2 linked regions of the Macaca fascicularis genome follow. The protein of the gene in region 2 interacts with the protein of the main gene of each other region in a biochemical or structural test. Links are inferred from orthologs where the notes say so. Each region holds a gene or a part of one and is shown on either strand. Other genes may lie near its edges.

Region 1 (3,500 bases), on a different chromosome or scaffold from region 2:
GGCATGAGGATCACTTGAACCCAAGCATTCAAGACCAGCCTGGACAATAAAGTAAGACCTTATCTCTAACAAAAATGTTTTTAAAAAAATTAGCCCGGAGGCTGGGCGCGGTGGCTCACGCCTGTAATCTCAGCACTTTGGGAGGCAGGTGGATCATTTGAGGTCAAGAGTTCGAGACCAGCCTGACCAATATGGTGAAACCCCATCTCTACTAAAAATACAAAAAAAAAAAAAATTGGCCGGGTGTGGTGGTGCATGCCTGTAGTCCCATCTACTAGGGAGGCTGGAGCAGGAGAATCGCTTGAATCCGGGAGGCGGAGATTGCAGTGAGCTGAGATGGCACCAACTGCACTCTGGCCTGGGTGACAGAGCAACACTTGGTGTCAAAAAAAAAAAAAAAAATTAGCCAGGCATGATGGCACATACCTATGTAGTCCCAGCTACTTGGAAGGCAGAGGTTGCAGTGAACCAAGATCATACCAACCACCCTCCAGCCCGGGAAATGGTGTGAGACACTGTATCCAAAAAAAAAAAAAAGGAAAAGAAAATCAGAAGGGCACCAGATTCGAATAGCAACTCTATATACTAGAAAACAATGGGCTGGGCATGGTAGCTCACACTTGTAATCCTAGTACTTTGGGAGGCCCATGGCGAGCGGACCACTTGAGCCCAGGAATTTGAGAGCAGCCCAGGCAACATGGCGAAACCCTCTACAAAACATACAAAAATTAGCTGGGTGTGGCAGTAGACGCCTGTAGTCCCAGCTACTTGGGAGGCTGAGACAAGAAAATCACTTGAACCAGGGAAGCAGGGGTTGCAGTAAGCTGAGATCACGCCACTACACTCCAGCCTGGGTGACAGAGCAAGACTCTGTCTCAAAAAAAAAAAAAAAAAAAATGCATGAATGGTGTTCTTCCCTACAGAACTATTATTCTCTATAGCTTATCAATCAAGAAGTGTTCAGCTCTGACCTAAAACTTTTAGATTCATTAGGACACTGATTGAGGAAAAAAACTAGTTTTGAAACACCATGCTCAAGAAACACAATGACAAACCAGAAGAAAATCAGTCTTGAATATTTGAGATTGAGGTTTAAGTTAAATTACCTCTATTATACCAGAGAAGCACCTACACAGACTTTCACAGACAGGTATCTGAAAAGTACTCATAATCTGATGAAAAGATCAATAGCCTATGCATAAATTGCACAGTAACACTTTTGAGTTTTTAATGTCAAATCTTTCAAAACCATGGCTTTTAAAAGCAGCAAATGAAGTCTAAAATCTTTCTGAAGATGTAAGATCCAGTGGCCAGTTACCTTAATAATGAATTACATTATTCATTGTAGGTACAAAGAACCAGAAAACCAAGAATGCAAAAAAGATATGGAAATACAATAGAATAAAGACAACTTTAATATCAACTTCCGCTTTCATTTTTGAAAGCTATTAGTAAAAGCATACATTTTAAGTAGTACAACCTCTTTAAAAAGAAAGTTACTCAGCACTCCTCTTACCTTTCTTGTTAATAGACTTTTACGTCTCATTCCACAAGCCTCTAGTTGTAACCTTCCTCTCAATGCTAATTCAATTAACATACAGCCACGTAATCCAGATGATATACAGTCATTCCAAAATGATGTGTAACCCTGTTAAAAAAAGAAGAAATAAAACAAAATAGCTAATTTACCTTGAATTCACAGTCAAAAACAAATATTCTCAGCCAAAGTCCTATTTGATGCCTTTTACCTTTCTTGTATTTCTATAACAACATACTGAAAAAATACAATTAACATAAATTATTAATCGATAATTTTCAGGGGCTTATCTTTCCACCACTTATTCTTATATACAAACAACAAATAACTTTAGAGGTCAAAAGTTTAGAAATATAACTCACATTTCACTAAGCTGTGTTTATTAGGTTCTTTCAGAACCCTGCAAACTCCAAGGAATACTCAGTTAATCTCCGATTATAGTGATTTATTATATGTGGACAAGTTAAGAAGCTCAGGGAAAGGCAACCTAGCCAATTTAGCTTCACTGAGAATTAGAATACCATCCATTTATTGCTGTTTAGGATAAAACCACAAGGTTAATCCGAGTGCTTTGGGAGGCGGAGCCAAGACGATGGCTTGAGCCCAGGAGTTTGAGACCAGCCTGGACAACATAGTGAGATCCTGTTTCTATCAAAAAAAAATCAATTAGCCAGGTATGGTGGTACACACCTGTAGTCCCAGCTACTAAGGAGGCTAAGGCAGGAGGACCACTGTGTCCAAGAGTTCAAGGCTACAGTGAGCAATGATTACACCGACACACTGCAGCCTGGGCGAAACTGTGAGACATTGTGTCTTAAATACACACACTGTTAATTTTGTAAGAATATATTAGAAAAACACATACGGGCCCACAAACAAACGGATGGCTATATGCCTAAAATTCTGAATAATAAACAGTATAACAATCAGATCGGCCCCAAGAGACAATGTAAGGGCAGCATCCATGGCGGAAGAACAGCCAGACATAAGGAGGTTGATAGACATCTAGAGATATGGGATACTGGTCAAGCAGACATCACCAGATGAGGTCAGGGCACTGTAACAGCAAATAACTGGAGTTGTTCAAATTATAAAGCCACAAATCTTGGCAGGAGGGTTGCCAGCTATCAATTTAACATCCCAGTTCTCATGAGACAGCAGAAGCTATAAATAATTCTCATTAAGGCTCAGAACAGGTAACATAATTTTGGTAGAACAGGCCAACTGAATCTCTGAAGAATGGAGGGCCCAGGATTAGGAAGGCCTGGCCCTCACCTCTGGCACTTTTCCAAGGTCAATCCTGGCAGTTTGCCAGGCCAGAGTAGTGAGCTTGTATTTCAGAAGATGACTGACCACTGAGGTCCATCAAACTTCATTTTTGATACAAGGAGTTAAATTCGCCTCACTAAGCCACCACTTCTGAGAATGTGACCTTTGGAAAAATAACAATTTAGATTAAAGGAGGCACAAGGGGATAAACAAAAACATCAGTGTTAAGAGATCAATTTAAATGTGAGGCAGAAGAAGCAGACACTGACTGGATTTTAGGGAATCATTTTAAAATTAGTGTTGGGGTCTGATCAAATGAAGATCAGCAGAGATTTAGCAAAGTGGCTAATAATACCAGTAGTTTATAGAGGTTAGGTAAAATGTGTGGCTTCTGTGTCCATGAAATTAAAGCCCTACGAAGCCTGAGAATGAATTCCACATGAAATTAAAGTTACAGATATCTGGCTTTGACTGGCCGGGACATATAGACAGAGTTCCTAAGTGAGCCTCTACAAACTGTAAACAACAAAGAACACCTCATAAAGCAATAATGGACGTCAACAGCCCTAGAGCCTGCAAACTCCAGCTGAACAGTATGGAAGCTTACATTTGATAGCAGAGAACTAAAATATGTCTCAATCTCAAATGCTCCTTTAATGGCATACCCAGAGATATTAGCAAAACGGGGTCTTTA
Region 2 (3,949 bases):
CTGCTGCCCTGGAGACCTGTGACACACCAAGTCCGGATGAAGGCTTCCTGAGTTCCAACAACTCCCAGCTCCACCTCAGCAGGGTGGATTCTCCCTTTCACAGGAGCCCCAGTTCTGCCCCACCCAGTCCACCTTTAGGTACCTGCCTCTGGGGGGCCCAGAGTTTTCAGGCCTAGTTTCTGAAGACACATGCACTCCTCAATGAACAGCCACTACCAGGGCCAGTGAGGGGGCCTCCAGGGAACTGGCTGGCTACCCAGACGGCCCAGGAGTGAGGCTGAGAGACCAGGTGGGAGTCAGGAAGGGCATAACCCACATGAGGAAAGTCTGGGGCGCAGGAGGAAGTCCTCAGGCATACACTCTAGCACCTGGGCCAGGCCAGGAGAGAGTAAACAAACTAGACACTCAGAGCTACCAGGCACCAGGTCATCAGCTGTTCAAAGTTCAAAGCTCCCAAAGTAAGTGACCACCAGCCTGTGGCCCCTCCCATGCCCACCCTCCACCCCCACCTACAACCCTTCTCATTCCCCTAATCCCCTCAATACAATAGCTGCCCCCAAAGCCATGGTTTTCCTGGAATTGAGGCCACAACCCCGATGTCCTCAACCCAAAATGGACAAGCACACCTCCACCCGAGGCTATATATAACCCGTCTGTCAAATCCAGAAACCAGGAGGATGTTTCCTGGAAAGCCTTCATCACAAAAAAACAGAGGGGAAGCTGAGGAGGTGGGAAGCCATGGACAAAGAGCCAGTGAGGCTTGTCAGGAAGCCAGAGACCTCAGGAGAGCAACTTTCAATATCCCCAAATAGAAAGTAGCCCCTGAACTAAAAAGGGTGGGGAACATTAGGCCAGGCCTGTTGCTACGACAACGGGGCACCAATCTGCTCAAGAAAAGGGCTCCAAAGCACAAGGGAAAGGCAGCTTGATTCAATGGGCTCTGTACTCACCGTCCTCCTCAGATGATCTTGCTTTTTTTTTTTTTTTTTTTTTTGAGACAGAGTTTCACTCTTGTTGCCCAGGCTGGAGTGCAATGGCGCGATCTCAGCTCACCACAACCTCCGCCTCCCAGGCTCCAGCAATTCTCCTGCCTCAGCCTCCCAAGTAGCTAGGATTACAGGCACACGCCACCACGCCCGGCTAATTTTGTATTTTTAGTAGAGACGGGCTTTATCCATGTTGAGGTTGGTCTCCAACTCCTGACCTCAGGTGATCCGCCTGCCTTGGCCTCCCAAAGTGCTGGGATTACAGGTGTGAGCCACCGCGCCCGGCCTGATCTCGCTCTTAATCATCCAAGTGGCCTCCCCTCCCTTCCAGCGCGCCCCAGTGCATACACAATTCCCAGAGCTCACTCGCCACAGGGGCACTGATGAGGTCTTCTCAGCCACAGACACGCCAGGGGCTCCAAAAGACAAGACGAACCCACACTAACTAGCCCAAGTCATTGGCAGGGTGAAGCGGGGAGGGAACCCAATTCTTTAATTCTGGGTGGCCATCTGAGGGCATGAAGGCCCTAACCAGGACAGTCCCTCTCAGGAAGCATTCCCCGAGCCCTCCCCACACAAACACACACTATGCGGCCAGCGCCAAACACGTGCCCCATTGGTCAAGTGGCCAGGCAAAACGAATACGGGCTCAAAAACAAACTGGCTGTCTTCCTCCCCATCTCCCCCACCCCCCACCTCTGGCTCATTCTGGCCGCAACCTTTCCAACTAATCAGTAAGACACATGTGCCTTGCAGTAGGGCAACTCCCCCATCTCCACCCCCACAACAAAGCCCCAATGCCTGGCCTGTCCCTGCGGGCCTTATCGCACCCAGGAACATGACCCACACTCCTGGCCAGGCTTGGGACCAAGGAGAGCACCCCCACTAACAAGGGGCAGGGTGAGGGGGCAGCCACCCCTACCACCTCCCCTTCCCATTGGCGAAACAACTGGCATGACAGGTTAGCAGGGCGGGGCGTTGGGGCGGTCTCTCCAGAGGCCTGGGGCAGCTTGTCCGACCTTCCCACACGCACCCCACCCCTCTGCAGGGAAAGGTGAGGTGAGCATTCAGTCGCAGGGTACAGCCTGCACTCCCTAATCCCCAAAGCCTGCCACCATTCATCGCCTCATCTTCTGTCCCAAGAGGAGGGGGCCCAGGGAAGCGGGGTCTCTATTGTTTTGCCAGCTGTCTAGCAGCTGCTCCTTTGAGAGGAGCCCGCAGTCGGCCCGGCAGTGAAAGAGTGAAGGCCGCTGGGAGGGATAAAAGGCTGGGTAGAGGTGCTCCCTTTCCCCGCTGCCTTCCTCAGCGCCCCGCTCGCTCGCTCGCTCCATCGGGGGGCCTGGGCCGGGACAAGAGAAGTCCCCCCACCCCCGAGGCTGCAGCCCGCACCCCGCAGCTCCGGGCCACCTGGGCGCCTCCAAGCGCCAAATCCCCCCACACTGAAGGCCACCCTGTCCTGCCTCCCTGCGCCCCCCAGGTTGGCTGGAAGGGCCGGTGGTCCCCCTTCCCCGCCGCTCCCGGTCGGCCCCCACCCCCGGGCGTCGAGCTCCACGGCGCCGCCAGGGACGGGAGCCGGGAGTCCGGGCCGCTGCTTCCAGGGGACAGGGGAGGAGGAGGAGCCGCCGGGCCCCGCCGCCCGCCCGCCCGCCCGCCCGGCCGGAGCCCGCCCCGCCGCCCCACCGGGCCGGGCCCGCCACCGAGCGGCAGCCGCCGCCGACCCGCACTCACCGGCCACCGGAGCCCGCCCGGCAGGCAGCAGAAGCGGAGACGCGGCATCCAGCAGCCTCGGCCCGGTCGGGGCTGGAGCAGAGCGCAGCGCGGCGCAGCTCAGCGCCGCCCCCAGCGACCGCGCCAGCCGAGCCGAAAGGGAGCTCCCTGCTGGCTGCTCTGGGGATAAACGCCCGGCCTGCCTGGCAGCACCAGTGCGCGCCGCCAGACGTGGGCCAGGCGGGCCGGGCGCTGCCCTAGCAGCCTCCGTCCGCAGTGGGCTCTGAAGCCCCTCTCGCTGTGTCTGAGAGAGGCCCTGCCTGGAGTTTCTGTCTGCACTGGGCACTGGAGGCTGTCCGAAAAGGGTCCGAAAGGGGCTGAGTGGCACTGCCCAGGACAGGCACCAGGGTCATGATGAACGTATAGAAGAGGGGCTGTCCAAGGCAGGCACCGAACTCTGCAGGCTGTGTTCAAGGTAGTGCTGTCTAGAGGAAGCAATTAAGTCTTACTGGCCAACTCTTCCCAAGGTGGCTCTGCAGAGGCACACACAGGGCCCTGCTGGATGGTGCCCCAGGCTCAGTCCAGACCAGTTACTGCCTTCCATGTCCCAGATGGCACTGCCAGAATGCACTCCCCAAGGTAAAAACAGACTCTCAATAGCTTGGTCTGATAGAGCCCTGTCTCAAAGTGGAGTGGATCAAGAGGCGTACGGGGCCCGGGAGCCATGGCTGTAAGTGCCACTCACTCCCTGAAGGAGTTCACCAATGCCACGATTAACACTTTCACTCTTTGGAGTGCAGTCTGTCCCTGGGTCCACCGTGTGCTGTAAATATCAAGTGAGCTGCTCTACCCACCAAGAAGACAGTTTATACTTCCTAGGAGAGGCCAAGGGACATCTAGATACCAGGCCTCCAAGATAGGTGCTATGTCTGGAGTTTGGAGAGAGAAAGAAACGGAGACACTTTTCTGGGCAGTGTCCATGCTGGAGTGGGGTGCGCCAGAATGTGGAAGAAACTGAGTGGGGTGGTGCAGGAAGAAGGGTGTAGCAGACAAAGGCAGCTGCTTCCCTAGACAGCCCAAACAGGAACTTCTCCAGGCAAGGGCAGCCCAACCTGACAGACCAGGGAGGGCTGGAGCGAGAAGGCTCAGAAGCAAAGAGTTGAGTAAGAGTTAGAAGTTCCTGAGGAATAGACCCAGGTGGGATACACATTTTGGAATAACATGCAACTCAAACTCAATTTGACAAACTGCCTGCT

What was found. The genes of interacting proteins can lie anywhere in the genome.
Region 1: the proteins of MYO18A (region 2) and GOLPH3 form a complex in vitro, tested with the Homo sapiens proteins (2 studies listed by IntAct). The link is inferred for Macaca fascicularis from reciprocal best matches to the Homo sapiens genes MYO18A and GOLPH3.

The regions. Positions count from the first base shown.
Region 1 is NC_088380.1:32,746,672-32,750,171, forward strand, and holds part of GOLPH3 (Golgi phosphoprotein 3), read right to left. Parts: intron 1,649-3,500; coding exon 1,517-1,648; intron 1-1,516. UniProt on the Homo sapiens protein: Phosphatidylinositol-4-phosphate-binding protein that links Golgi membranes to the cytoskeleton and may participate in the tensile force required for vesicle budding from the Golgi.
Region 2 is NC_088390.1:34,668,050-34,671,998, forward strand, and holds the start of MYO18A (unconventional myosin-XVIIIa), read right to left. Parts: upstream 2,801-3,949; 5' UTR 2,715-2,800; intron 1-2,714.